Linked DNA regions of Arabidopsis thaliana. The protein of the gene in region 1 interacts with the protein of each later gene in a pairwise test. Each region holds a gene or a part of one and is shown on either strand. Other genes may lie near its edges. The genes, in order: AT4G35320 and GAMMA CA2.

The links.
Region 2: the proteins of AT4G35320 (region 1) and GAMMA CA2 interact in a two-hybrid assay, tested with the Arabidopsis thaliana proteins (one study listed by BioGRID).

What each region holds. Positions count from the first base shown.
Region 1 is NC_003075.7:16,800,332-16,816,271, reverse strand, and holds AT4G35320 (uncharacterized protein), read left to right. Parts: upstream 1-9,441; 5' UTR 9,442-9,689; coding exon 9,690-10,133; 3' UTR 10,134-10,403; downstream 10,404-15,940. Other genes in the region: AT4G35370 (Transducin/WD40 repeat-like superfamily protein), read right to left, coding at 14-62, 161-190, 284-352, 427-637, 713-792, 888-1,134; AT4G35360 (pantothenate kinase), read left to right, coding at 1,616-1,785, 2,091-2,156, 2,260-2,326, 2,398-2,466, 2,547-2,687, 2,782-2,910, 3,021-3,107, 3,239-3,313 and 4 more; XCP1 (xylem cysteine peptidase 1), read right to left, coding at 4,397-4,612, 4,709-4,849, 4,939-5,174, 5,269-5,743; CPK5 (calmodulin-domain protein kinase 5), read right to left, coding at 11,644-11,754, 11,854-12,078, 12,163-12,330, 12,426-12,541, 12,611-12,763, 12,857-13,000, 13,083-13,836.
Region 2 is NC_003070.9:17,313,292-17,329,722, reverse strand, and holds GAMMA CA2 (gamma carbonic anhydrase 2), read left to right. Parts: upstream 1-6,238; 5' UTR 6,239-6,375; coding exon 6,376-6,490; intron 6,491-6,638; coding exon 6,639-6,782; intron 6,783-7,042; coding exon 7,043-7,168; intron 7,169-7,270; coding exon 7,271-7,422; intron 7,423-8,039; coding exon 8,040-8,339; 3' UTR 8,340-8,822; coding exon of another isoform or gene 8,823-9,305; 3' UTR 9,306-10,152; downstream 10,153-16,431. Other genes in the region: AT1G47271 (Cystathionine beta-synthase (CBS) family protein), read right to left, coding at 34-115, 646-867; TLP6 (tubby like protein 6), read right to left, coding at 1,159-1,783, 1,859-1,991, 2,073-2,160, 2,235-2,565, 2,637-2,680, 2,875-2,895; AT1G47265 (uncharacterized protein), read right to left, coding at 4,925-5,155; PAF2 (20S proteasome alpha subunit F2), read right to left, coding at 8,823-9,305, 10,153-10,503. UniProt on the Arabidopsis thaliana protein: Enzyme involved in the catabolism of H(2)CO(3) but that does not mediates the reversible hydration of carbon dioxide. Mediates complex I assembly in mitochondria and respiration. Binds HCO(3)-.

The DNA.
Region 1 (15,940 bases):
TAAACATATGTACCGAAACTCCTTGTTCCAAGCAAGATCAATTACTGGACCAGTGTGGGAATCTGATGTCTAGAGTGAGAGAAAGACAACTAACATGTTACATTTGGAAAAACAGAGGAGCTAAATAATTTTCAAAAGTTGGTTGTCACACCTGCCCGGCTATCCGTCCCAGTTGTACACAAGGTAGCACCTCATTCACCTGAAGCATTATATAATCAGCTTACAAATCATTATCTCATGATGGATAAAACAAAAGGTAAACATCATCAAAAAAACAGTTAACAAGTACATACAAGGTCAAGATCCCATATCTCTATAGAGGACTCCATTGTCCCGATAGCTACAAAGTTCCCTGCGAACACGAAAGCAAAACTTGAGGAAAATGATCATAATCTCATCCACAGCTATTCTTGGATACACACAAACCTTTTCCCCCTCCTTTGAGAGGACAATCAAGCCATGCTGTGCACAATGGAAGCTCGGATATAATCATGTCATTGCGAAGATAAATGTTTTCGGATTCCTCATATACATAAACCTCGAGATAGTTGACTTCATGTTTAATAGCAGCACAGATGATCAGTGAATCGGTTGGCCTAATTGTCAAGTCATCGTGATCCTCTGAGTCATAGTCACCCTAGGGGATATCAAGATCAGTATTTACTATTGAGTCTCCACAATTAGTAAGAGAAAAATTAATGGTGTTTCTTACGTCAGTATCCTTTAGGTATGGATCCATGTCATTGCTTGGATAATAAAGGTGTCCCTGCCCAGAGCTAAACAGTTCAATCTCTGAGTCCAAACGCAAGAATGAAGGAAACTGTACATTAGCATATATGCAATGAAAATATGCAAATATGTAGGAAAAACAGAAGAAAGTTATATACCATCATCCTCTTCATCATAGTTATCCATGTCGAGTTCTTTCAAGAACTTGACAACTTCATCAGCATCTGTTGAAGAAGAAGAAGCAACCTTGCTTTTCCCAAAAGATTTTGCTACAGACTTGGCATGAGTAACTTGAGCATTCTGAATTTCATCGTCCATCTTTTCTTCCATACAAGGAGATTCAGCAGCAACAGGCATAGCCTTTGATGCCTCTTTTGGGATCCATGAAAGTGCAACTATCGTCATTCTGCAAAAATCAAAAGAGATTTTTACTTAATAAGCGCAGCTCGGTTAGGAAAGCAGAGAACGCCATGAAGCAACTATGAATGAATCAGCAAACTAGAGATGACTTTTAGGGTCTGTAAACTTGGCAACTAAAGAGCTTACGATCCAAAAAGGTTTCAACTTTAAGAAAGAGAGACTCCAATTCATCTATACAAGACTATTGTATATACAATGCACTATACAAATGAACTATATACTATGATAGCTTACTATCAGAAACGAAAACCACACAACAACGTAGGACTCGTCGAAGAGGAGAATCCAAGAAGCTTGCTCTGCTTGGGAACGCGCGGCACAAGGAGGCAAGGAGGATAAACGAGAAACGCTTGAAAGCAATTAAAATAAGGGTTTCCTCTTAACTTGCCATTTTTCTGTTTTAAAGAAAAATCACTTTTTTATTCTACAGTGTTTCATTTTCATATCTCACACGTACGAACGAAGAATGGAGAGCGACTCCGAGATGGTAGCGTTGCCTCTGTTACCGACTCCGATAGAATCGAACTACAGGGCTTGCACCATTCCTTATCGATTCCCTTCTGATAATCCTAGAAAGGCTACTCCCACTGAGATCTCCTGGATCGATCTCTTCTCCAATTCCATCCCTTCTTTCAAGTTTGCATCTCTCTCTCGTGATTCTGTTTTGCATTTTATGTTCAAGCTTTGATTTTTGTGATCTAGGAAGCTCATATACCTTTGAAATTACTCGGATTTTGGATTTTATCCGTCAATTCGATCAATCTGTTCTATTTTGGTTTTACGATTGTTGTGACTTTTCATGAATTTGGGCTTTGTGACATCATGAAGAAACTCTGATTGTTTATTGACGTTTATAGGAAACAATAGAAATTCTGATCCAACCAATTTAAAAATTCAAACTTTCAATGTTCTAAAGTTGTTTTGTTTGATTTTTTTTGCAGGGAACGTGCAGAGAGCGATACAACCGTTCCAGATGCTCCTGTTCGAGCTGAAAAGTTTGCCAAAAGGTATCTTCTTTTTTTTTTGTGTTCTCACATGTGTGTTCATAGTTGCTTAAAAGAGGCGCTCATTCGCTCAAAAGTATCAATTTTGGGTTTGATTTCTCGCAAGGTATGCGGAGATTCTTGAGGACCTGAAGAAAGATCCGGAGAGCCATGGTGGTCCACCGGATTGCATTGTAAGTATAGTTTCCTCTTGTAAAGTAAATGCTTGTAGAGAGCTTTGTTGTTCATGGATTTATTTTTGCAGCTTCTCTGCAGAATTCGTGAGCTGATACTAAGAGAATTGGGATTTAGGGACATATTTAAGAAAGTTAAGGTGTGGTTTTCCTGACAAGGATTTTCTCAAAAAGCATTATATTCTCTTGCACTCTTTGCTGATCGAAAGAGTTCATTTAGGATGAGGAGAATGCAAAGGCAATATCACTATTTCCTGAAGTTGTCCGTTTGAGTGATGCTATTAACGATGAAGGCAAGCGCATAGAGAATCTGGTCAGAGGGATATTTGCTGGAAACATCTTTGATCTGGGTTCTGCACAGGTATATGTCATATCTTTCTTTTCATGATACTCTTCTCTGTTTTGTTGAGTATCTTAATGAGTGGATCTTATGTTTCTTTATTCACATATTGAAGCTTGCTGAGGTTTTCTCAAAAGACGGCATGTCCTTTTTGGCTAGCTGTCAGAACTTGGTTTCACGACCATGGGTCATTGATGACTTGGATAACTTTCAAGCTAGATGGCTCAAGAAGCCTTGGAAGAAGGTCACTTCTTTAACTTCTCTCTGTTTTGTCCTAACTATGCTTTATCATGACTTCAGGAGTTTTATCGCAGGACACACTGATTTGTTTTATTTCTCTCTTTTTCATGCCAGGCTGTGATATTTGTCGATAATTCTGGTGCAGACATAATTTTGGGTATCTTGCCCTTTGCTAGAGAAATGCTACGTCTAGGAATGCAGGTGCTTCCTCAGTTTTTTTTTTTTATGCACAACTATGGACATTTTGTTCTCTGGTTTGGCTTTTTGATTGTGAGAAGTTGTTTATTATGTATATTTCTAAGTTGTTCCTCATTGCACCTTCCCTTTTGAAGGTTGTACTGGCTGCTAATGAGCTTCCGTCTATCAACGATGTAACTTATATCGAGCTTGCAGAGATCTTGTCTAAGGTGATGAATAGAGTCATTTGGGTACTCTCGTCCATTACAGATTAAAGAAACTCGACCCTGACTGAGTCTTAATTTACCAGCTGAATGATGAAAATGGACAATTGATGGGTGTTGATACCTCAAATCTTCTTATTGCAAATTCAGGGAATGACTTACCGGTATGTTATTCAAAAGCTCGCACAAGAAGATTGAACTTCAAGTTATCACTAATTCCTGTAAAAAATTTCTTATCCTTTCTATCCCGTTGCAGGTTATTGATCTTGCAAGAGTATCACAGGAGGTTGCGTACCTCTCAAGCGATGCAGACTTGGTCATCTTAGAAGGCATGGTAAGACCTTTTAATCGCGTGAAGTTGGTGAACTATGTGTTATCTAGTCTTAGGTATCAACAAACTGACTCCTTGACTGTCCTGTACAGGGCCGTGGAATAGAGACAAACCTTTATGCTCAGTTCAAGTGTGATTCCCTCAAGATCGGAATGGTATTAAACTTATAATTCCATGGCGTTACATAGAAAAAGAGTTACATGTTTCTTAATTCTTCCTTATTACTCAAGTCTGGTCTTTTGTTATGCAGGTGAAGCATCCAGAAGTAGCACAGTTTCTCGGAGGACGGCTTTATGACTGTGTCATCAAATACAATGAAGTTCAGATTTAATTATATTTCACACACATTTTTACTAAACCAGCCATTCAGTTTATTATATTAAAAACTGTTAGGCTTTGTAAGTTAGAGATCCAATCTCTATCTCTGCATTCAGATGTAAGAATTGAAAACTCTTTCGACATTCTTTATCAAACACACACAAAAAGCACCAATCTTTCTGATTGGACCTTATCTGGTATTTGAAAGTTTCATATTTGTAGAGAACATGATCTTATTGAGAGAGGTAGCTCTATGGTCATGTTTTTTTAGGTTTCTTGAAGCTGGATGAGCATTTGGAGGATGTGCAGTCAGAAAAATGGTAAGAGAACTCTTACCATGTTATTTTAAAATCTCACATTCATCAATACAATATAATGTGCAATAGAAATGCATTGAAAGAAAGAAAAAAAGGTAGGATGCAGGAACAAAGGTATATCTATCACTTGGTCTTGGTAGGATATGAGGCCATCTTGTTGATTCCACAGAGTCCCTCTGGTTTACCAGTGTTTCTCTTCATCCTAATAAACCCTTTCTCTCCCCATCTTGGTCCCCATGAGTTCTTGACAATAACATAGTCAGATCCCTTTGATGAACCATATCCAACCGCTGCCACACCGTGGTCTAGGTCTGTTCCACATTTACCATTAAACACTCCCTGTAAACAAACAAAAATCTCCAAATCGGTTTTTGAGAGAATGAAAGATTGGATACATAGAACACAATTTCGATATCATAATCATCTGTTATATACCCCTTTGTAGAACTGGAAGTCTCTTCCTGAAGCCTCAATAGCCACACTGACTGGCTGATGAGCTAAAGCCTTCACCAGGCTTTCGTCATCATTTTCAGGGACATCTTCGTAGCCGCTGATTGTCACACGTTCCACATCCTCCTGTGTAAGGTTCATGATTGATCAGTGTTTATAAAAAATCTGTTTCCCAGTGTTAAGTTTTGATTATGTTTGTGTCTAGTGTTTGTTACTTTCTGCTCTTGACAAATTCCTTCCTCCATGAGATAAGGGTAATCATCTTCTTTGTGGAGACCACCGGTCGAAATTATGTACTGGAATGCGTAGTCCATGAGACCTCCATTGCAGCCACTGTTGAAAGTTGTGTCACAGTCTATGAGTTCTTGCTCTGAAAGCGAACTCAGATTCCCTGTTGTGATCTGGTTGATCCCCTCGACAGCTGCAACTGTTGAAAATGCCCAACAGCTACCTGCAGCAACAAAATAAGATCGTTGGATAGCTATTCGAATCTCTGAGTTCTGTTCTATATACCTGGGACCAAGATGGAAAGAGAGAAATGTTACCACATTGACCCTGGTCCTTGACAGGAGCCACAGCGCCTTTCTTTCTCCAGTCTACGGATTTAGGCAAGTCCGTGATATCTCTGTACCTGAAGTTAGCTGAGGGCTGTCTCTTTCTAGAGAATTGTGGCTTTGCAAGTCCTAGATATCTTCCTTTGAACTCTTCATGGGTCAAATCCGCAAACTCGTTCAAACCGAGCCAGTAACTGTTGATCTCATTGTTCCTCTGGTCTATATGCATCAGATTCTCTCTGAAAACCTCAAACCTGTGCACCTTCTCCTCCACGCTTTTGTAAGCCTTGCTGTGTTCTGACATCCATGACTCGAAGAGCTCTAGAAGCTTGTCAGTGTTTGTCAAATGCTCCGGCGTGTATCCAACAATGGAGAAATCACGGGCAAAAGCACAACAGAGGAGAGCTGATGCTGAAATGGCAACCAAAAGAGAGAATTTGGAAAGTGATGGTGCAGAAAAAGCCATAGCCAAATTTGTTCACTGAGAGAAGAGGAAGAAGAAGAAGAGATGGTGTGAAACAGAGTAGAGGAATAGAGCTTATATACAAGTTGGAGACAAGACAAAGTCTCATAGGATTGGCTTTGAAGCAAAGACAATGATTAATTTAAAAACTAAGTACGCCGGTCTCCGAGTCTTCACGGTTGGATCATTTTTGGTTAAGCCTTTTGTTCTAAGCGTGCAATTTTCAACATACAGCTTCACGTTCAGACAGTTAATGATTATTAAAATATCCGGAGGGGTGTTTTATAAAAAAAATTACGTAGAGGCTTAAAATTTCTGAAATTGTAACTATTCTTGATAAGTTTTGGTATCGTACAAATGAGAATAGAAGGTTTCATGAGACGGAAAAAAAAATCAATACAGAAGCACAAATGTGAATATACCTACACGAAAAACAAAATCGTAATCGTTCAAAAGCTTTATCTCTGTACTAGAATAATGGTGTTTTCTTGGTAGATGTAAGTGTGAAGATCTTTACTATCGTAGCTTCCCTGCGGAATGTAAATATACTGAAACAGAGACGACCCTGCAAAGTGCAAACACAGTAATGCATTTTATGAGACACCTTTTACGCAGTCAGTGGCTCTTATGTGCATAAATGTTGGTGGCTACTTTTGATATCAAAAGTTGAGATGATTGTATTAGCAAAAGCAAATGTGGTTAACTTACGTTGAACCCAAGAAGAAGGCTAAGGAAAGATGAAAATTGAAGAGGAATACAGAGACAACTGCGGTGAGAAGCATCGCCACTGATGTCGAATAAACCTACATACCGATTGATAAAGTTAAACCCTGTGTCAAAAAGTGACAGGGGAATGAATGTGCATTTTTTTGCAAATACACTACCTTCACGATATTGTCTGCATATTTCATCACCATCGACACAGCAATGCCACTTCAAAACAAACAATAAAAGAGTGTTTTGGTGTTAGCTTCACTAACTTACATCAGAGTTAAGAAAAAAGTCTGGCCTCTTAAGCAGCTTTTACCTGAGAGCATGGTTAAGAATCATGAGTAATGTGATGAAGGAGTAACCATGGAAGAATCCCCTGAAAATGGAAAACCATCCCATTCAATACCAGAACAGAAGAGTCATAACAGCATAATACGCAGTTAGTATAATATAATGGAACTATAGGACACCGAGGATATAGAGGTGTAGTACTAGTATGTTCTGGCATTTTATAGCAAGTATGAAAGAGGATGGTTTTTGGATTTACTTATTTGCAACGGCATCAAAATCTTGGATCACTATAGCAACAGCATTGAAAGCCATCCCAAAGACATATAGCCAGAAGTTCTGTACATTTATATTCCTTGAAGGTCGCTTTTTAATAATGGCCTGCCAAAATGGAAAGCAAAACCTTTATAAGCTTTATATATCATAAGTTAATTTATCAATGGAAGGAACCAATTATACTGTATTAGTGTTGACACACACACAGAGAAAAGAAACCAAATCAGCTTTGAGTATTTACAGTATACAGTCCTAATATCCCACCTCTGTGTACACTCCGGCGAAACCACTTAAAAGAGCCATGACCTAGAAACAACGAGTGATTATATTAATTGATGTGGACATGAAAGCTGCTTCACAACTCTTAGTTGATATTAGCTTGCAAAGGGGGCTAACAGCTTACAATTGCCATAGTCCAGCCAGGAAGAGATGTCTGAAGAACACGATCAGAACTGCAAAAGCAATTTCAAATATGAGACATATATTGGAAAAATCAGCAGAGACCTGAAAGTTCACAGAGCAGGAACCGGATATGAGCTTTTGTGTGTTACGCATCATATGCAAGAATCGTTAAAGCTCAATTTAATAGAATTCATATGAAAATCAAGGGTAAAGTTTTACTTTGAATTCAACTGAGCAGTGGTGCATCCGCAACACAATAGAATGAAACCCGCCCACTGAATCTCGCTCAATCTGTTAGAGAAGATAGTAAGCAAAGCAGTTCACACTTGCAAGAATTGAAGGAAACTGAAACAGCTCACTGATGGATTTCCAGAACAACTATTCATTGGAAGCTGTTAAATCCATTTGGATGATTAAAAAAACCTACTTTCTCTTCAGTATAATTCTGTACAAGACACCGGTACTTATGATGTTCAAGTTCTTCAATATCTGATAGCCTGGGGCGTCTACATATGCAAAAATATAATACTGCCACGTAAAAGGTGACACAACAAGTAGTTAGAGACATATTAACATGAAAAACATAAGTTAAGAAAAATCGACCAAAGCCACAGAAAAAAATAACAAACTCAGGACACCCCACCTGTAACAAATTCTTAAAAAGATACAATGCTGCGGGAATTGGAAAGACTTTAACTTCATCAAATGTTGTGCTTAACCTGTTATAGAGACAGGATTTGGGTATCAGTAACGAAAAATTCAGTGAGCTATCTACGGTCATGTTCAAAGAGGAATTAGATATAAAACTCATGGAAATTTCTCTAAAACTGATAACAACAGATTGAGTAACAAAATAATTCGCTACCTGTTGTCGTCAGTAACACCTTCATTTTTCCATATCCTTGTCAAAGCAAGAAGAGATAACGCACATTTCAGAGTTCAACCTGATGTCCACCAAAGAGTAAACAAAATCACTATATCATCATGATTCAGAGATTAAAAACCACACAAAACTGGCCTCGCTTGCAACACATACAGTACACTCAATTTAATGCATCTATGAAACTCACCAAAAAGTTGGCGGTTGTAACACTATACTCATACTTCCCAGCTCGTTTCGACCACACGATAAGTATCGCTTGAGAACTCGTCAGAATCGTCAGTGCACATGTTACTACACCCCTAATTCAACACAAGCTATTTAAAGAACTTGAATTTTCCAAAAAAAAAATGAACAAAGGAAAAAAACTTACTTTCGTTTCCAGTTGATCCGTTCACTGGATCCAACACCCAGAGTAGCCATTGCAATGTTACTCGAAGCAACTGTCAAATCAAAGCACCAATGAGCACATTAAAGAACACGAGAAGTGGAATTTGAGAAAAGAATATCTCACCGGTATGAGATTTTCCTTTCACACTCTCGATATCAGAAGCAACGTCATGATCGTCCTGAAGAAGCTCGGAACAAAATTGAGCATTAAAGAGAGTCCAAATCTTAAATTAAAAGCAGCAGAAAGACAAAGTGAAATGGAAGTAACGAACCTCATCTTTGATTTTCCGGTACTCCATTGTTTCAAGCTCTCAGATCTCTGTGATCTCTTCTCCGAACATACACACTCGATAGCTATTAAAAAAAGAAAGAATAAAGTGCTTAATTTCGATTTTGGGCTTGAAATTTATTGGGCCTTAGTCTAATACCTGATTAGGCCCGTCTGGGATATCTTTTTTCTTTTTTGGATTTTTGTATGTGATTGTTCTTTTTTCTGTCAACATAAATTTGCTTGGCTATGGACATTGGACAGATTCTGCTACATTTTTCTGATTTTTATTATAAAAAAATCAAAGCCAATGCAATTTCAACAGATTTCTGTACTGGGAAAATAACCTTTAAAATAAAATTACAAAGAATTTTTTTAATTAAATTTGTATTGTGACTTGTGATGGAACCCTACCTGAAAACAATGTTTATCTATATTCACTAAAAATAAAATTGTTATATTTCCAATATTATAGGTGCATTCATTCATACACAAAACAACTAACTATACAAATCAACAAATAAACATAACAATACAAATTATTTAATACAAAAACAAACAGCAACAACAAAATGAATGTAATTGGCTGGGGGCATAAAAGTAAATGGACCCCACAAAAATAAAGTGGAATAAAACCCCAGCCTGTGTTAGAGCTGTGTTCACTAATCAATCTCTCACATTCACATTCATCTTCTTCTTCAATCTCTCTCAACACAAAGAAGAACAAAGAAGTTATGAGCTCAATGATGGAGACTCTCCAGATTCGTAAACCCACTTCCCTCCCCGTTTCTCAACGCCCTAATGCAGCAGCCACCGCCGACGATGAGCCTGGTCTCATCCGCCGTCGTCTCTCTTCTCTATCACTCAACCTCTCAAACCAACCAGCAGCGATCGCAGCTAGATTCCCGAGATCCAAATCTGTTTCCGCCATGGGAGAACAAGCAGGAAGCTCTGTGAAAGAATGGTGGGAATGGGGTTGGTCATGGATCCTTTCAAGAAAACCTATATTCATCAGAGATCTTGAGCTTAACAAAGACGAAGCTAAATCGATTGGTTCACAAAACAGAGGAAGTATAATGCACGTTTTCTTCAAACTCCGATCTCAGATCCGTAATTTCATGGGACCTTCTTCAGAAGATTCTCTTCCTCTTTCTTGCAAATACAAGCGTCAACGATAAAATGATTCATATAAGGTTGAGATTTTGTGATTTGTCTGTTCTTTTTTTACTTTTGTGCAATGGAGTATAATGAATGTATAATTCGTCTTTTTTTTTTTAAACTTGATGTTGTATTTTGCTATAATTAATTTGCCTAGATTATTATTAATCAATTTATTTATTTTATTTGTGGTTACGAGTTTGTGGCTGTGCAGTTGTATTTTTGTATTTTAATAACCATGCAAATTATATAGAAAAATCCGTTATTTTCGTTTTAATCTTTTACGCGCCAACATGAGATTCTTTTTTTTTTTTGGTTTTAATGTGAAAAACAACATGAGATTCTTCTATCTAATTATGATTCTGAATTTCGTTGTATAGTTTCATATACACAATGATCATAATGATAATTGATGATAACAACAATCTATGTCGAAGAACTCTTAATTTCATGATACAAGTAGAACTAAAAATCTAAAATATTTCACCGAATTATTTTCCCATTTTGTGGGGTTTTCAACAAAAATGGTATGTAAAAAAGCAAAGTATTAACGAGAGTTCGGTTCCATAAAACTGAGACGCGTGTGGCCGACAAAACATTTGTCGGTGGCAGCAAATCGTCGGTGGCGTATTGATATTTATTGTTCTGATTATAGTTTAAACTAAACTTTTACTTTCAAGTCGGACTAGTTTTAAATTAAGAGAATTTGGGTACAAATGATCGTATTTTAGCTAATTAACATATAATTTTTAAATAACAAAGCTGACCAAATTGCCATACGTTACTCTTAAGAAGAGGTTATTTTACACTAATAAAATATGAAAAGTGACACCAAAATAAATATTTTTTGTTAATATGAATATGCCATGTGTATAGGAGAAGTACCAAAAAACCTGTATATGTAAAATACATTAAAAATGGTTTTGGTGCATAATGTTCCAAATTACAGATTGTGGCCAATGAATAATTTGCTTGGAACAGCTTTGAGTTTTGGTTTTATTTGAGTTTAAATACAGATTACTTAGAAAAAGCACTTTCATTTACATGATTGAGACTTGCTAGCTCATCATCTTCCACATCATAGGCCATTGGTACTATTCTCATATAAATTTATTCAATATCGAGTTGTGTAGTCCGATATGGATGAAGGGTCGTGATCGTCTAGAAAAGAAGAAATAGATTTTCAAAGTAAAAATGCTTAGAAATCACACAACATACAAAGACATTTTTGTTTTTTTCAAATACAAGTGAACAAAGTTTAACAATGGCAGATGATGAACAAAGCTCACTAACTTCAACAATGGCCATAATGAACAAACAACAAAGAGGTAAAGAAAAAACCTCCAAAACTACTTGACGATTAATCACACAGTCGTTAAACAAAACTCGAACCATCCACAGGTATGAATCCGGTTTGGTCTTCTTTCATCGCCTTCTAGGTGGTGAGCATTGAGGTTGTTGATTCCATGAATAAGAACATTTTCGCAGTCACGATCGCACTAACATATTAAACACCGGGGAAAACAACCTCTACGCGTCTCTCATGCTAATGTTTAGACTATTTCTCATCGTCCTTCTTCCAACACCAGCATTTCCCTTTTGCATCATCTCCACAAACTCACCATAATCAATCTTTCCATCCTGTTCAGACCAACATAAGAACCGATAAGACTTTTTATCAGCTGATGCCTCGACATTAGCCTAGCGAGGAATGTGGAACAGATCATCATATAAGCTTACATTGTTTTGATCAACTTCTTTGATGATGTCTTCAAGGAAAACATCAGCCATGCCATGTTCAACACACGCTTGTTGTAGCTCATCAATTGTTATGAAACCGCTTCCATCTTTGTCAAAATATTGAAACGCTGCAACAAGATGCTCTTCCCGCTCTAGTTTGTTGAGATGGATCGTCGCTGCAATGAACTCACTGTAATCTATTGTCCCACTGTTGTCTACATCAGCCTGGTCAATAAAAGAGCTGAGTGTAAGAATACATAACAATACTTCATTGTCAATGTACTTAACCAAATAAGGTTAGATTTTTACCGCATCCATAAGATCATGGATCTCTGTGTCTTTCAAGGTAGATCCATATTTTCTCAGCCCAGCTTTGAGTTCATCAAATGTGATTGCCCCGCTGTTATCAGTATCCATTGCTTGAAACATTTCTCTTAAACCAGCTATCTCTTCTTCCGAGAGACTCTCAGCTATAACCTGATGAGCCCAAAACAAAGAGTAAAACAAACAGTTTCATGAGAAGTGATGCAGAGACCAAAGAAGATAAAGGGTTTACGCACAAAATCACTCACCTTCAAAGCCATCTTCTTTAGTTTATTCATTGCAGAGAATTGCTTGAGACGAGAAAGAACAGCTGGATCTAGTGCTCTATCTGGTGCAACACCATTCTCACAGATCCATGGATGACCTGAAAAAAGGATATTAGTCTAATGCTGTTTGGTTGTCACTATAAGTAATCATTTATGTGAATACGTACGCAAGACTTCATGAGCGGTCAAACGTTCTGCAGGCTTGGAGGATAACATTCTGCGGATCAAGTCTTTAGCACTGTCGGATATCACAGGCCACGGGTCTGACTCAAAGTCGATATATCCTTTCAACACAGCATCAAATATCCCTTGCTGTGTTTCTGATTCCAAAAACGACAATACAAAACACATTTCAGGTGACTTAGACTTTCTACATGACTAAGAAACAGGCTAACATGGAAAATGACAAATACCTGCCCAGAAAGGTGGGACTCCGCTTAGCAATATATACAATATAACACCAGCAGTCCACACATCAGCTTCAGGCCCATAACGTTTGAGCAAAACCTCAGGAGCAACATAATATGGACTTCCAACAACATCAGTGAATATTTGACCTGAAAGTCACATTCTGTTTCATAAGATTCTTTTACCAGCCTAGTTAAGCAAAACATTAACTAAAAGCTTCAAACACTTTACCTGGTTTGAAAAAGACAGATAGCCCAAAATCAATAGCCTTGAGAGAGAAATCATCATCCTTATTAACCAATAAGAAATTCTCAGGCTTCAAGTCTCTATGCATCACACCAAGCGAATGACACGCTTCAACAACACCGACAATGATCTTAGTCAGCTCAGCAGCTTTCCTCTCACTATAATGTCCTCTCTGAATAATCCTATCAAACAATTCACCTCCAGCACAAAGCTCCATAACAATGTGAACATACAAAGAGTCCTCATAAGCTCCTTTAATCGTCACGATACTACCGTGACCAGCTAAATGATGCATTATCTGAATCTCCCTTCTAACATCCTCAACATCTTCTTTAGAGATCAACTTCCTCTTGGATATTGACTTACAAGCGTAGTCAACGCCTGAGGCAATCTCTGTACATAGATAAGTCGTTCCAAATTGACCTTGACCTAGCTTGCGGCTAAGGGTATAGATATCACGAATGTTTGGTGTCTTATGACCAAGAACATAGTAAGCTTGATTGTCTGGGTTACGCCTCATGATTGGTTCTCTTAAAGGAATAACAAGAGCTGGATCTTTGCTGTTGTTGTTGCTGTTGTTGTCTTTGGAGAATTCTTGAGCAATGATGTCTGCAGCGTTCGGTGAATGGTCGGAATTAGAAGACAAGTTGGTGGTAGAGGTTTTAGAGTAATCTTCAGGCTTATTGTTATCGCCTTCGTCGAGTTTGTCCTTGAAAGATCCACGGCAAGAATTGCCCATGAAACAATGGGAATTACCAAATCCTGGTTATAAAGACAGCAACTTTCACTTTGTGTTCTTCATCAAAGGAACTGTTCATAGAGATAACACTGTCAAAAGTCAAAAGACTTAAATTAGACCAAATACAAGAAGCTAAACGAGAACAAAGTAACGAACTTTAACAATACCACAAGTAAAGAAAGACGCAAAACCCACATCAGATCAAAGAGTCAAAATAACCAAAAAAAAGACAAAGAGCTAAGAAGTTTCGATGGATCTTTTAAAGGAATAACAAAACAGAGAATGAAGTAAAGCAAAAAGAGGATCTAGTTACCAGTTGTTGAACTCAGAAGGGCGAAAGAGAAGACTGAAAGAATGGGATTAGGAAGGAATCTGACTTAAAAGGAGAAACTAAATTTAGGGGAGACAAAAGAGAAAAGTCGAACAACAAAGGAAAGCTACAATATTTTATGTTTATTTATTTCAGAGATTGAAGTAAGAATAAAAATAGATTTTTTAAGAGCTTTGGTTTGGTCGGATAGATTAGATTCGTTGGATGAGAATGTGATGGTGTTTTATTTTACGGCGGCGATTGAGCGAAGAAAGGTCTTTTATTAGTGCTCACCAGCTACTACTTCTACACCTCTCTGACTCTGTCTCTCTCCGCTGTTTCCTCTCACCTTCTTTCTTCTGCTTTTGCATTATTAAATTTAAACCAGTTTCTCTTTTGTTTATCGTTTAAATTGTAATTGAAAAAAAAAACTAAAATTAGAATGTTGGTTTGTACAAAATCAAAATGCATTTCTGGTTTTACTAGTTACCGTTAATTGTAAAAAAATTTAAGTATTAAGCACGATGGTTTTATTCTCGTCGTATGAGAAGACTAATTTAAATACATGTGATCTACTTGTAAAAGAAGCAACCGTTCATTCAATCTCCTATCAGAAAGAATAGTAATCTCTTGAGATTTTTTCTTAAGATAAAGATATGCCAAATATTTAAACAGTATTATGGCGTCACTGACTATTATGACGTAAGAGATTGACTTTTCCATATATTGCAACTTTCTGGAGCCCCGCACATAATCCCTAATAAGTTTTACTTTTGGGCCTTGTTTATTCACTGATCCAGCCCAATGTTCAAATACAAAATTCAGACACCCCAAAGGCCGTATTATTGTATTGTTTTAGACTTTAGACCTTACAATAAGGCCTAAAATGATAACATATTACACATTTCAATTCCAGATAAAAAAAAGAACCGAAAATTTTAATTATAAACGCTATCAAATTGACATTTTCACAAGACTGAATCAAATTTGACACCTCCACGTACACAAGCAAAATTATATTTTGGGTTTTGTATCAATGTGCTGGCTGATTTTTTTTAGCAAAACTGTCCTGTAACATCTCTCCAACTTGGTTTGAATTCGTTTTAACATTAGTTTGGTGACAAACATAACGTTATTGAATTTTTCATTTTTCCGTAATAATCATTCTGATTTTTTTCTTTTCAAAATGTTGTTACTAGATGTTTCTTTCCCAAGAATAATATCTTAAATCAGTAATCACTACTACCAGTAAACATAAATGGTACGTTTCTCCTCATTCTACGGAATTTTTAAGAAGCAATGATGATGATTAATTGAGGATGTGGACAAGAATCTTTATATATTCGCATTCACATGCCATAACTTTCAAAGTCTATGAAAAAAGATTCTATTGCGTGTTTATATTCTGTGGTGTGTACTGTAGTTCCAAACATAACGCTTGTACTACGTTCATTTCCGGAAAATATCTAAGAAATATGGAGTCATAAATATTTATTAACCAATTAGATGTTTTTCCTATGTTCTAAATACATTTATGGTAATCTTTGCGGTCAAATATACGAACTTTAACAACGACGTTTAACAATATATCTTTTGTTTTATACATATCAAGTTTTGATATACGGACGATAGATATTTATTTTCAGAAAACCAGTAGTTGTCGTAGTCACATGGTTTGTTTTTCGTTGATCAAAATTTGTTAATGTTATTCATTTAGAATTAGAGACTGTATATCGAATTTGGTACTCGGTTCTAAAAAAAAAAAAAACTCAATATGATTTTTTATACATTCTT
Region 2 (16,431 bases), on another chromosome or scaffold:
GAAAGAACATTATTAAAGAAAGCTTATATATACCTCTCTCTGTGACAATTCCTGCTATATATTGTTGGTCTCCAGGTTCTAACACGACCAACGATCCAATATTATGCTTTGCCATCTGTTTTTTGTTTTTAACACGACCAACGAGATTAGTGGTCTACGCATATATCTTATATATGCATGACAAATTGACATAATATACAAATATGTGTGCTTTACTTATTATACATAAAATAGAAATATATCTCGAAAACATTGGTCTGATTTACAATTTGACATATACATACGTGTATACATGACACATTGACATAAACTACATATAGGTATTATATTGCACCGAATGTGGAAATTAATCACGTCTTATTTTATTAGCTGGGACATAGAACAACGTGGAGTAGGCAACGAACCTAACATTAATAAGTAAATAAAATAGTTCTTGTATGAGTTTTTAGTTCGAGATTTATAGACTTATGGCAGCTTAAATGTCCAAAGGTAAAGAATTGTACCCCAAAAACATATTAAGCTAACTAATGCCATAAAATTGATACATTGTTTTAAAAATCTCGTTTTCATGGGTACTAATTGATGCGTGTGTAACGTGATGAGCAAACAATAAAAACGGAGAAAAAGAAAGAAGTTTGAACGAACATTTTTAACAGCGTCAGAAACAGTGTCATTCGTACGGCACGAGATCCACGTATCAATGTCAGTATCCTTCGTGGAGAGCACATCCGCCACCGTCAGATTCTCCAACCCTTTCTCCGGCGGCGGAGGCGAAGTTAAGCAACCAAAACCGGCCGATACCTTCCTCTGATGAATCTTTGGGACCTCATTAGCTCTTGCTAATAGTCCTCTCACAAAAGCTTTCATTATATAATCTTATTAGGTTCAAAATTGTACTTTTTGCAAAAATAAATGAAACAGAGATTGGGTTTTGTAATAAAGGAAAGGTGATGACTCTTTGCTTCCAATGAAAGACTAAAACATACCTTACCTTAACCAAACGTTAATTACTTTTAATTAAAAAATTAAGAAGAAATTAAAGTTTTTAGAATGAAAAAAAAGATCTGATTGTTTGATTGCTCCAAGAGGGAAAAGTATGTACATTAAACCACACAAACTGCAAATAGAAGAATATAATTTGATATGATATGTTTTGCTTCATTCGCAGACTGGCTTCGTGTCGAAGCTGCTTAAACAAATAGCAAAAGCTTGGAATGCAGAGATCGGGTAACGATAATCCATTGTGAAAATGTCTTTGCCTATCTTCCCAAACTGTAATATCACTCTATCTTGTTCCTCTTCTGGTATGTTCATGTTCTTCCCTGCTTCTGCAGCAGCTGCCACTAGCTGGAAGTTTTTCACCGAGGCGACTGTGACTCGACCTTTGAAGTTTAGACACCAGCACTGAAGCTGTTCGTGCCATCTCGGCGACTTGTTTTTCAGAATTAATGGTTCTTTTATAACGGATTCTCCTCCCAGGTTCCCTGAGCAGAAATCCATCAGCGGCTTCTTCTTCTTCTTTCCTTGGTTTGTGAACTCCGTTGGCGACTGGATTTTGCCGCCTTCTTGAATCGCTGAAATCGGGATACTGTGCATTATACATTGCATTCTTCTTGGACCTCTGGTTCTCAGAACATTCAGCTCATACAAGATTGAAGCTATGTTGTAACTACTAGATGACGACGATACCCATGGAGACACTTGCATCGATGGTGGGAGCTTTCGGTTAAACGGAGGAGGTTGGTTTTCGTAGACTGTGAACTTCGTTCCCAGGAAATTTGATCTGTCCACCACACACAACAAGACTTATAATAGATGGGCATGGTGATCATATAGAACAAAAAGAAGAAGACTTTACCTCAGTTTTCCTATGTAATTACTACTACTTCTCGAGAAGTCATTCCCCGATAACGATACAACAAACTCCGCACCCGTCGCTCTCCTGACTCTCTTTGCAGATAACAACAACTTACTCTTGTCACCGGAAAGAGCTATAAGAAGACGAATGTGATATATAAAACAGTCCAAACTCAATTCATAAGAGGTTCTTAAGGTGAACTAGTAAAACTAACCAGGGCTTAAACCAAGATAGAGACGGTATATCCCCGTAGCTCTTTCACGTTTAATAAAGCATTGAATTGGAGCATCTCTAGGTCCAGGCTAAGCCAAACAAAACCAATGTTTTAGACACAATGATAATCGATTATAAGACAAACTGGTCAAGAGTAACAAACCTGTCTTAAAGAAATCGGAAACGTGATCAAACCAGAGAGCTCAGGAACTTTAACAACTTCTTTAGTCATCTCCCTCCATGACTTACAAACCGAAGCACAAGCAACAACATCTCTCCTCCCCGGCCATAAACTCTGTTCAGACTCAATCCTTTGGATTATATCAAGAAGTAACTCTGGAGGCAAATCAACCCAAATACTCTGGTTTAAACCTTCATTAGTTGATAAAGAAGAAGACACAGATGATCCTTCTGGTGCAATGTGTGACCTCCCTCTTCTACCAATAGCTTTGTATTTGTTCTTCACTATGTTCTTCAATGACATTGCTACTCTGCTACAAACAAAACTATTATAATTTCTGTAATTGAGAGTTTGAGAGACCAAATCAAAAACCCTAATTTGTACCTGATTTTATCTGCTCCCCCAGAAATTTCCCAGCTCCGTTTTGGCTGATGATGAACAAAGTAAATCAACAGAAATGTCTCAGTATTCACCAAAGAGAAACTTTATTCATTGGAGAAAGCAAAATCATGAAAAGAGCATGGATCCGGCTTCTCCGGCAATATCGTGAAGAGTTCGAGAAAGTTTTAAATAAACAAAACATCGAGAAACGAGAAAGAGAGGAAGAGAGAATTATTGTTACCAACAAAAGCGACAAATCCATGGGGAAGCACAATTATATTTCTGCAGATGAGATAAGTTTTTGGATTCTTCTTCTTCCGATGAAGACGAAGAAGAAGAAGAAAAATTCAGCGAGGAATTTGAAATTAAAAGCCTTCTCTTCTCGAAAATGTTAAGTTAAATGAACCACCAACACCAACACCTCTCCGATGCCGTTACTGTCGCCGTCGTGAGCTTCGATTCCGAAGAGGAGAGGAAGGAGGAAGACGACAGTAACCGCAATGATTTCGAGGAGGAAGAAGAAAAAGAGAAGACAGATGGGTTTTTTTCTTTTAATTAGTAAAACGGAAAAAGACTAAGCGCGGCTCATGTTTTTCAATTGAAATTAGTAAATTACTCAAAATAGGATTTTTTTTTTGTAAAACTATTTATTAGCTGATAATTTTTGCTTTTTTGAGAGTTAATTACAACTGGATTTTTTTAAAATTTTATTAATTGGCACGAAATATGATATTTGAAGGTGTATTTTAAATTTTTAGTAAATTTACAAAGAAATTAATAATAAGAAATATTACGTATCAGGTTATTTTATTGTGTATGTTAAATTGAATTATATGTAACTAAGTAAATACAAGAATTTGATGTTGTTTTTTTTTTTGCCAAAAGGTGTTGTTATTTATATGAAATATTGTACAAACATCCATGATACAGAGATGATATTACACATTACAAAGACGTCTATATAAAAAGATTGAACATGAACTTTTAAAAGACTGAATCAAGGTTCATGTACAAAACAGAAGGATCAGGATGCTAGAAGATCAACTACCAAAGGAGAAGGTAGAAGCCCTGGCAGCAGTGTTGAAAGACAAACATCTTGACTTCTCAATAAGAACAGGAAACGAAAACTAAGTTTCGCATCTGAACTTATAGCTTCCATCTTATGCTTATGTCAAGAGAGCTTCTTACTTACCAACGTATCAACCAACCATAAGTAGTAGTAGAAGATTGAAACCGTCCTATAAACCCTTCAAGTTTATACCCATCAAACTGCAACACTTAAAACTAAAAAGGACAGTAACTCGAAACAATCCAAGATAGATTGTTCAGCCAAAAGCAGTAAACACTAAAAGGAGTTATGATTCCTAAGCAGCTATAGACATTCCAAAAAAACAAACCTTACCCCAAAAAGTTGAATTCACAGAGTATAAGGGTAGATTATACTCACATTTGTAGACACAATTTTTCGAGATCTTATCCTCACAATGAAAACAAAAAAACTCATAGCATACTCTAAGTATCATGCAAATATTTTATTAGTCGGTGGCATCAAACCACCTAAGGCTCAAAATATCCCCTCTAGTAACCAACTTTCGTTACAAATTTCAGGATTAAGGCTCCAACTCGGAAAGAGCATATTCGATGTTCTCTTCAGCTCGCGACACATATATCGATTCCACCTCACAAATCACTCAAACCGAGCTCATCTCATGATGCATAAGTTGGGTTTACTTCGCAATCACTTGAACTAAGTCCTTCTCACGGCGTATTTGTCAGGTCACCTCGCAACTACTTAATCCAAATTCATATCCAACAGCATTACAAGAATATTAGTCTTCAAGCAAATAACCTTACTCAAAGAACTCAAGCTTATGTTGATACCGGATCGCGCACGACAAATCCATCTTACGCATCCAAGTTCCATCACTTTACAGAGCAAAGAATGTACATCTTGCATAAGAAAGGTGGTTAAATCTTGATATTAATTTGTGATTAAATTTATGAATTAATGGTCATGGTTTAAGGAGTAAACTTGCCATTCAAGTTTACGAATTAATTATGAGAGTTATTTTATGAGCTAGATATGTACCTAATGGCCAAATAAAGATACATAGGAGGAAGGAAAAGACTATAAAGAGAGGTGGAGACCCTAAGAAAAGAGACTCCATCTTTTTTTTTGTAAAATGGTTTTCAATGTTATAAATAAGGTCCAATGGACTATTTCCGGATTTAGGCTCATACATTTTCCCTTAGACTCAATCCACTTACATATAACCAGACTAAACCATCTATTACAAAACCGATCTAAACCGAAAGTTGAAAATCCTAATCTCATATCGTAAAACACGATCTGAGCCGCCGTCCAAGAATTGCAGAATCTCACCGGAACAGAAACCCTTTGGGGAGCCTAGACGAGATTCGTCGAACGGAGATGGTAATTCAGGATCCGTTGTCCTCCTGCCACCGTAGAGCAGTTTTGAGGAGGAAGAGGCGATCCGGGTTGCCATAGTCATGAATCTCATAGCTCAGTCGAGAGAGTTGACGGCAGTAGTGAGTAGATCTCAAGACCATCGACGGTGGTAAAGCCTCACCGAAGCGGAGTCGACCTCCCCCATCAAGCGGCGACCCAATGAAACCTCCAGAATCTTTAGACTTCCGACCTAACCGCCGTCAGCCCTTGTTCTTCACTGTGAAGTCTCATCCTTCCTCTCCGTGAAGCCACACCACCGATATAGCTCTTACCGACAGTGTCTCGCATAATCTTCTCCCCTCCACCAGGGCCAACTCAATATATTCTCTGTCACTGTACAAATTTTCAAATTTAGCCCTTTTATACTAAATATTTTGAGTTTGGCCCTTACATTTAGTTAAAATTTTATTATGGCCCTCAGATTTAGTCAAAATTATCTTTTTGACCTCAAATTTGATAAATTTTTTTATTTTACCCTTTAATTTTGATCAAATAATTTTTGGATCCTGTGCAATTGCTCCTCTTGCACTCCCCTAATGCCGCATTTGCCCTCCACTGCTCCCTTGATTTTGAATAGATTGAATTGCCGAGAAGATGTAGCGGATCACGGTTGAAGCACCATGTCCCAATGGGTTTCTTCGTCGCTGGAGTCAACGAAAAAACTTATTGACGGAACAAGAGATTGTGATTATAAGAAGAAAAAAATTTGAGAGAGAAATCGCCCACGCGTAAATATCACTTGCCCGACTTCTTTCTAGTATAACTCCAAGAAAAACACCCAAGAAACTCCATCTTCTACATTCTTGACCCCATTTTAGATACAAACAATGTTTTTTCCAATCCTTATACTAAAAACTATTTCTTTGCTTTATGCAATACTTCCAATATCCAATGCACAATATAAGCTAATATCTCTATTTTTATCTCTTTATTTTCTTTGCTAAATTATATTAATTATTTTACTCATTTTTGTGTTTGTCTCCTGAAAGCTTTGTTCCATCTCCTTACATTGCAAAACGAATCTATCCGGATTTTGTATTCACAATCTCTGTAAGTCCAACCAATAAATTTCGGTTTGGTTTAGCTTACCAGTTACCACTCCATACTCTAAAAATTTAGAGGTCAACAAAATAAACGAACTCACTCGAGTTAAAAAAAAAAATCCTCCCATCAATACGCCTCCATAAACCTCTCTCTATCTGGTGGAGCGACACCAAAAACAACAAAGCCTTCTCATTTTCACACTTTGGGTAATCGGAGAATCACAAAAAAATGGGAACCCTAGGACGAGCAATTTACACTGTGGGTAACTGGATTCGTGGAACTGGTCAAGCTCTTGATCGCGTTGGTTCTCTTCTTCAAGGAAGTCACCGTATCGAGGAACATCGTAAGCTTCCAGATCCTTCCACTTAATACTCTCTATTGAAACCCTAGATCCAATTCGTTATCTCTAATTTGTGTCTTCACCTTTGATTGGAGAAATTTGTGGCTTAGATTGAAAAAATTTGATTCGAGAAATTTGTGTTTGTTTTCAGTGTCGAGGCATCGGACGTTGATGAATGTGTTTGATAAATCACCATTGGTGGATAAAGATGTGTTTGTGGCTCCGAGTGCTTCTGTTATTGGTGATGTTCAGATCGGAAAAGGCTCGTCGATTTGGTATGGCTGTGTTCTTCGAGGTGAGGCTTTATTACTTCTAGAAAGTCTTAATGGCCTTTGGTTCGATAGAAGTACCAAATTTTGCAGCAGTATATTGTGCAAAGTAGTCATAGTTTAGTTTTAGGAAATGAAGTTCTCTTTACCTTCTAATAATCTTGTATCGCTGTTATACGTTACTGTCCTGATCATTGGACATAGATTTATTGTACTGTCGATAAAATGTGTCATGAAGTAGCTGTGAAACTTATTGTATGTTAATCTGGGTTTCTAACTTGTGCAGGTGATGTGAATAACATCAGTGTTGGATCTGGGACGAATATCCAAGATAATACGCTTGTACATGTTGCAAAGACCAACATAAGTGGCAAGGTTCTACCTACTCTGATTGGGGACAATGTAACAGTAGGTAAACCTTAAAAAGCGATTTATCAGTTTTGAAGTATCTGTTTTTATGTTGTGTTACACGATTGTTAGTTAAAGGTTTTGTTTGTAAAATGAAACGGAGCAGGTCACAGTGCTGTCATTCATGGGTGTACTGTTGAGGATGATGCTTTTGTTGGTATGGGAGCAACACTACTTGATGGTGTGGTGGTTGAGAAACATGCCATGGTTGCTGCTGGTTCTCTTGTGAAACAGAACACGCGAATCCCTTCTGGAGAGGTTTCTTTCTTTCCACTTTATCTTTTCTGGTTTACTGCTTACGGAGTTTGTGATAAGACTGGAACTGGAAACTGCTTTATTTCTCACTAAACTGAACGAGAAAATCCAAAGTATCAAGAACCAAAAATAGAACTCTAGCTAGGTTTACTTATCACGGACCCTGAAGCTCTACCAAGCCTAATAACGAACTGCTAATTAACCAAGTAATAGCAGCTGTAGTCTGCTGCATTTAGTCCTACGCTGACCTGTAGCTAAGGCTTGACCAGCTGAACTTCTTCAAGTAGATCCACTTTTGCTTTGCTTACAATTTAGTTGATACAGAATTAGTTAATGAAATGATATGCCTGTAAATTGTATTATATTTTGATCAAAAAGAAGAGTAAATAGTATTTATATATCGTCTAAATCTGAGAACCACCTTTGTTTCCGTTGCAATTCTACTTGTATATGAAACAAGGGTGAGTTGGGAGTAACAGAGGGTTCTTGTGTTTCCAATGTTTTATGAGGAATTAGACGGATTTCTTATATCGCTATGCTTTTGAACTACTTTCTTCAACCGTCAACCTGAGAATATATTTACAAGGACATATCTATAAGTTATCAGTTTCATGTGGCAGGTGTGGGGAGGAAATCCAGCAAAGTTCATGAGAAAGTTAACAGATGAAGAGATAGTATACATCTCACAGTCAGCAAAGAATTACATCAATCTCGCACAGATTCACGCCTCAGAGAATTCAAAGTCATTTGAGCAGATCGAGGTTGAGAGAGCGCTTAGGAAGAAGTATGCACGCAAGGACGAGGATTACGATTCAATGCTTGGGATTACCCGTGAAACTCCACCGGAGTTGATTCTTCCCGACAATGTCTTACCAGGTGGTAAACCCGTCGCCAAGGTTCCGTCTACTCAGTACTTCTAATTCCAATCTCAGGTTGTTTTTGTGTGTTGAAATCATTTCAAGACAGGATTGATTCTCTGGAAGGTCAAGAGAGATATTATTTTGGTTTTAACTTTTCTTCCGAGCAAGCAGGAGATTTATCATCCTTGCTCAATAATGTATGGTTGCATTATGAAGTCATTTCTTCGAGGAACAATTTGCAGAAAGAGAAACAAAGTTGGATTAATCTTTCATTCTTTCTCTCGCTGTTTCTCTCATTCAAAATGGTGTCTGTTTGATACACTCTCTAGGTTGGCGATTCGCCGATTATTATTATCATGTGACAGATTTGACTTAAGTAGGACTAAACATAAGCTAGTGGCACTCAATAACTCCTTGTTCCAAGCTGTTAAATAAACAAAGCCGAATAAAAACCACAATTGTACTTGGAAGTTGGAACATATCAAAGAGCTACACACAAGAAAATTGGTTAGAAAATCCAACTTTGAACTCATTCCCTCTTGCTCAAATTTCCATTGGTGCAACATCTTGATCACCTGAACCACCTTGTTCACCAGTTCCAGCAGCACCAGGAGCAGCTTCGGGTTCGGCCTCACCCTCACCAGCATCTTCCTCTTCCTCAGGAACCTTCTCAAACGTATCAATCACCTTTTGAATGCTTTCCTGGTCCAAGAAATGGAATGGTTCATCGACTCCTAGAACAGAAACAGTGCAGAGCGAGCTCTTCAGTGTTTCCCCTTGCAAAGTTTCCCTTATGGCCATAATAGCATCTTTTATCAGATCTTCTTTTGATGATTCTTGGAAGCTCTCGAATTTGCGCTCCAGATAGGTTTTCGCAGCTTGTGAACGAGACCCGATAGCGAATGCTTGATATTCAAAGTAGTTTCCGCTAGGGCAGTTGTAGTAGAGGTGAGCTCCTGACTCGTCCAATCCACCTACCAGCAAACCCACACCATAAGGCCGTTTCCATGATCGTTGGGTACATACCTGCTCAAAGATAATTTATGAAGATGTTTAATACAAGACAAACAAATGACTTAACATTTGAATGAAATCAGAGTGTTGTTCAAACTACAAGACTGATATCAATACGTTCTCAGAAATCAATTGAAAATGTAGATACAGCAGCTAACTTAATTTTTGACAGACATGAAAGTAAGTGGGACGTAGCAATCAAACCTTTTAAAAATTGTGAACACATCATCTAACTTGAGAACACTACGTTTAACACCAAAAGTAGTGAACATGTAGCACAAATTTCTATCACAACTGTAAACCAACATCTTACTGAAAATATACTTCATTAGGCAAGTAAATAAAGTGGCCAGGACATACTACAACTACAAGTAAGTAAACAAATGCAAAGTAATACAAGTCAAAACCACAAAACCAAAAAGAGATCAACAAAGACGTATATTTATTCTAGAATTGCAAGCAAAAACAACTCTATCAAGCAAAGAGAACAGACGATGACAACACAGAAACAACCAAACGACCAAAATCATCACATTCTTATACACTTCTATCGTCAAAGTGGGTATACAGGTTAACTCTTTCTAATCGGATTAAGCAACTAGCAACAGAACTGGATATGATTAACAACACAAGAATCTCTAATTCCCAATCACTAAGACTTGATCACAAACCAATATCACTACTTGCATAACAACACACACATTCTACAAATAAAATTGGCCACATTGCTAATAAAAACCTAAACTTTACTCCAATTACATAAAGCTTCAAACTTTCAGATACTCACACATCATAAAACTAAACCCTTTAGCAAATTCTAGGTCAAAATTCAAAAGTTAACCCAAAAATCTCAATTTACCTGAGCTTTATCAGCAAGATGAACAACAAGACGACCAACAGGAAGAGGAGACTCATAAGTAAAAGAGTGATTAATAGACTCAGATCTCATATATCGAGAGAGAACACGACCATCAGCAGTGAGACCAGCAATAGCAACACCAATATGATCATCGACTTTAAAGATCTTCCTTTGATGAGAAGAGAGCTCTGATTGTGCTTTGTTGACACAAGCGAGGACGACATGAGAGCGAGATCTGAGTCCTATTGCTGCGGAGCCTTGTTTCACAGCTTCCATGGCGTATTCGACTTGGAATAGTCGACCTGTGGGACTCCATGTTGTCACATCTGTGTCGTACTGGTTCCTGAACATCTTTCTTCTTCTTGTTCCTCTGTTCTTCAAAAGCTTTTCGTTTGCTTCAAGCTAGAGGAGGATGGTCTCTCTTATAGAGCTTAGAAGAAGAAAGTAAAGATTGTCAAAAAAAAGAGAAAGAAGACAGTAGAGTAAAATGGGCTTATGAAACTTAATGGGCTGGGTTTAATTATCCATTACTCTTTATTATTTTTTACACATTTAAAAGGATTATAATTTTATAAATAAATACTTAGCATTATATTATTTCTTTTTATAGTAATTAATTTAATTCATAATTTAACATTTGCAGTTTCAATTGGTTTTACATTATTTATTTACACATTTTTCACTACACTGATTATAAATTTACTATTCCCTCTGATCCTAAAACAATGATATTTTGGATTTTTCACAAATTAAAAAAAATAACTTTTATATTATTTTTATTGTTTTTTCTTACTGCAAACTATGTTTTAATCTATGAATGTAGATCATTACAGAGAAGGTTTTTGAACCAAATTGGCTCGTTCCTAAAGTCTGCTTTGAACACAGAAATCGTAAAAATTGGGGAAGCAAAATAGTCCGCTTAAAACACAAAAATCGTAAAATTAGGAAAACTAAATGGTGAGCTATACTATTACAAAGACGTTTTGTGAAAGTAAATACAATAGATGAAAATCTGAAGACCAATACTCTAAATCTAGAAGTAAATTAGCAATTTTACTTCTATTAGACTTGCCATTGATGGTTTTAATGAGGACTTCGCAATCTCTTTGGAATTGTACTTTCTTGTATTTTTGTATCCAAATTTGTTGCATCGCCACAAGTAACGCTTTCGTCTCAGCCTTTAGGAGAGTGTTGACATGATCTAAAATTGAAGATCCTCATGTGTTTGCTATCCCTTCATGGTCTCGTATAATCCATCCACCCGTACTTTAAGTACTATTCCTGTGTAAGTCCGCATCGAAATTGCACTTGACAAAAGAAACTGTCGGTTTTCTCCATGAAGTATTTTCCGATGATGGTGCTCTTGTTGTAGTAGTTTTTTCTTGCCTCCCTCTCGTGTTTATAATTCATTTATTATTTTTTTAATTAATTTAATAATATCAGTTCTACTTTTTTTCCTTTCTCTATTGATCACTAATGAAAATAATATTAATTTAAAACATCAACTTTTGTGAAACAAAAGTAAAATTTAAAACATCAAACTTCATGGACTAGAGGGAATTACAAGTTATTGTATTTTATTATTTCTAATTTTATGAAAATTAATAATTTAGCATGTGTAGTTTAAATTGGTTTGGAATAAAATTAATTTAGAAATCTAAACAAATAAAGTCACATGTTATTAGATTTTTAATTTGATATTTTGTTTTTGATAAAATCTTGTATTATTTGGTTGGAAACAAAGAGTATTAAAATTGTGTCAATTAGCTAACTAGCCAAATTCGACATACAAATTAGCAAAATAGTCATACGTCAGAAAACTTTAGTAAATAGTTTTTTCTTGGGGTGTAAAATAACCAAAATAACCTGGAAAAATAGACGGGAACTCGTGAGTTCCGACACTAGGTGTCTATATGTAGGGAACATAAACATGCGTAGGTAATGAGTAACCCGTTTTATTTATAAAACACACGCCATTTATATATGTTTTTGTTCCTGATGAGCCACATAACTTATAGATTTCAATTACCAATGAGAACATAAACATGCGTAGATAATGAGTAACCTGCTTTATTTATTAAACACACGATATATATAGATGTATTTGTTCATTTTTTTCTTAATTCTATAAACCACATACCTTTTAGATTTTACAGATGCATTTGATATTTAAACACTAACTTATATCACTAAATATGTCAAAAACGGACCATATATATATACAGATGTTTGCTTTGTATGCGACTAGTTATTCAATGGAGACTAACAGATAAAAAGGTCAATGGTAACTGTAACATAGAATGTTATTTAAAAACAACACATGTAATTCCTATATGCATACGCTGTATGAAAACAATGGGCGTGAGTTGGAAATTGTGTATTGGGCAATAAACTCGGCAAAGTATCAACTTATAGAGATCATACATTACATGCAATGTTTCGTTATATCAGTAATCATTAGTATGCAACTTGCTACATAATATGGTCGCCAAATCTTATTTGCGATTTGACAATGTAAATCTATCCGTAGGAAAATATTTGATACGTATCTATTGCATTAAATGCGGCGACAGTGTTATATACGAGTTCCAATGTTGCATTGGGGGAAGGGGTGAAACAAATTCCAAAAACAACGTGTTTCGTATAAATATAACATAGGATAACCACTAAGCATCCACCAGATAAACGACACGTCGCGCATGACGTCTGCGATAATGTTAAAACACATGAATTATTGTGGTTATGCATGTAATTCAAATACAATTCAGTTATATGTTTGATGCGACATTTACAGAAGCGACAGATTCCATCGATTAGCAGCCCTTCGAGAGTTTGGAGGGAAATCATAATTATTCAATATTATGTGGCTTAAAAGCTTGTAAGCACTGTTGCGGAAAATGTCTTAATATATTGTAGCCCTACTTCGTAGCAAAAGATTCCACATATAACAGGAGAGATGAGTAGCATTTAAAACACACGATAATGAGTAACCCGCTTTATTTATAAAACACACGCCATCTATATATGGCGTTGTTCTGGATGAGCCACATAACTTATAGATTTCAATTACTAATGAGAACGTAAACATGCGTAGGTAATGAGTAATCCGCTTTATTTATAAAACACACGATATATATATATATATATATATATATATATATATATATATGTATTTGTTCCTTCTTTTTTTTTTAATTCTATAAACCACATACTTTCAATTACAGATGCATTTGATATTTAAACCCTAACTTATATCACTAGATATGCCAAAAACGGACCATATATATAGAGATGTTTACTTTGTATGCGACTAGTTATTTAATGAAGACTAACAGATAAAAAGGTCATTGGTAACTGTAAAATAGAACGTTATTTAAAAACAACTCATGTAATTCCTATATGCAAACGCGGTATGAAAAGAATAGGCCTGAGTTGGAAATTGTGTATTGGGTTATAGCCTCGGCAAAGTATCAACTTGTAGAGATCATACATTACATGAAATGTTTGGTAATAGCAGTAATCATTAGTATGCAACTTGCTATATAATCTAGTCGGCACATTTTATTTGCGATTTGACAATGTAAAGAGTCCGTAGGAAAATATTTGATATGTATCCATTGCCTTAAATGCGGTGATAGTGTTATATACGGGTTCCAATGTTGCATTGGGGGAAGGGGTGGAACAAAGGCCAGAAACAACATGTTTCGTATAAATATAACAAAGGAGAATCACTAACCATCCACCAGATTGACGACACGTCGCGCATGACGTATGTGCTAGTGTTAAAAAACATGATTTATTGTTGTTATGCATGCAATTTTAATACAATTCAGTAATAAGTTTGATGACGACTGCTTCCGTCGATTAGCAGCCCTGCGAGAGCTTAGAGGAAAATCATAATTATTCAAAATTATGTGGCTTAAAAGCTTGTCAGCACTGTTGCCCAAAAATATTTTAGTATATTGTAGCCCTACTTGTTATCGAGACATTCCCAATATAATAAGAGAGATGAGTAGCATTTAACGATCACACCACTTCCTCTTTGAAAAAATTAAAAGGAACAAGTATACAACAAAGGAGAAAGACAAGTTACAGCAATACTAGGTATGCCATTAATGATAGATTTGTTTTACAGAGTACCATGTAAAATAGAACGTTATATAAGAACAACTCATGTAATTTCTGTATGTAAACGAAGTTATACTGACGAATTTGAAAACAATAGGCTTGAGTTAGAAATTTTGTATTGGGCTTGATGTTATTCATTCGGTTATAAGCTCGACAAAGTATCAATTTATAGGTATCATACATTACATGAAATGTTTGGTTATATCAGTAATCATCATTATGCAACTTGCTACATAATTGGATTGACACATTTTATTTGCGATTTGACAAAATGAACAGTCTGTTGGAAAATATTAGATACGTGTTTACTACATTAAATGCGGCGACAGTATTATATACTGGTTCCAATGTTGCATTTGGGTAAAGGGTGAAAGAAAGTGTAGAAACAACATGTTTCTTATAAGTATAACAAAGGAGGACAACATGATGCACTCCCCAGCGAGTCACCATTAACTTCTCCACTGAGAATATAGACAACATTGGTCTAGAAAAACACCAAGTGAAACAACAACGTTAAGAAAATGATATACTGGAAAAAGCATGTCTCCATTATATTAGTTTTTCACTCTATAGAAAGTAGTTCACCTCTGGAAATTTGAAAAAAAAAACATGAATTTAAGAAGAAACTCGATAGGGATTATTGTCAATATGAAAATAGAGAAACCAAGCAACCAATTTAAAATTGTTTTCAATTACATAATACTAAACCCTAAGATAATATATAGGGAACGCAAGCAACCAATTTTATAGATTTTTTTTGAGAAAAATCCAAAACATACAACGGATAGAAAACACTGAAATTTGAAAGAAAAACATGAATTTAAGAGGAAACTAGATAGGGATTACTGTCAATATGAGAATAGGGAACACAAGCAACCAATTTAAAATTGTTTTCAATTACATAATACTAAACCCTAAGATAATAAATAGGGAACCCAAGCAACCAATTTTATAAAAAATTTTGAGAAAAATCCAGTTTTAATTATATATATATATATATATGCATGTATATAAATATGTATTTGTGTAGTTATATCACTGGATCCGAAAATCAACTCAAACACATCTCGATCCCTTTTTAAAGGTATAAAAGTATAAAATCTAAAATGAAAACATAGTATACAGATAAATCAATGACTATAAATAACAAGCATCATTATAGAAAAACACCTTATAGAATAAACATAGCATGTTATCTATATAAAATACATGAACCAGCTATAAATAACATGCATAATATGAACAAACCTCTTCTTCTTTTTTTAACCCCTAAACGGACGAAAAAGAATCCACAAAATTTGAGGAAATTTCCAGATCTCGCCTTATCTAACTTCATGTAGAGAGATTAAGAAAAAATTGAGGGTTAGTAGAGACTAAATAAAAAAGAACCAAAACTTAGATCTGGACACAATCGGTAAGAACTCTATGTAGGATACTTATGTAAGTATACATGGGAAGAAATAGAAGAAGACACAGATAAATAATCGGAAACCCAGGACTGAACTTACCAGATTCATTGGCGAATACCAGATTGGATAGGAGGAGAACGAATTAAAACTTCTCTCGCAAACGGCAAAAGAAGGAAAAAAAGATTAGCAGCTATATAAAACACATACAAAAAACTATAAAACAAATGCAAACAAATGAAATAACAGAGTACTTAATGGCAGACCAAAAGGTATAAAAGCATGAAATTTAAAATGAAAACATATTATAGAGAGAAACCAATTAGTCAAAATAACAAGCATCATTATACAAGAACACATTATAGAGTAGACATAACATGTTATCTATATAAAATACATGAACCAACTATAAATAACATGCAAAATATGAACAAACCTCTTGTTTTTAAACAAAAACCCTAGACGGACGAAGCAGAATCCAAAGAGTTTGAGGAAATTCCCAGATCTCGCCTTATCTAACTTCATGTAGAGAGATTAAGAAAAAATTGAGGGTTAGTAGAGAATAAATAAAAAAGAATCAAAACTTAGATCTGGACACAACAGGTAAGAACCCTATGCAAGATACTTATGGAAGTATACATGGGAAGAAATAGAAGAAGATATAGATAGAGGGAAAAAAGAACCGAACTTTAGATCTGGCCACAATCGTTATTTTCTATGCAATTGAAGTATAAAGGGGAAGAAA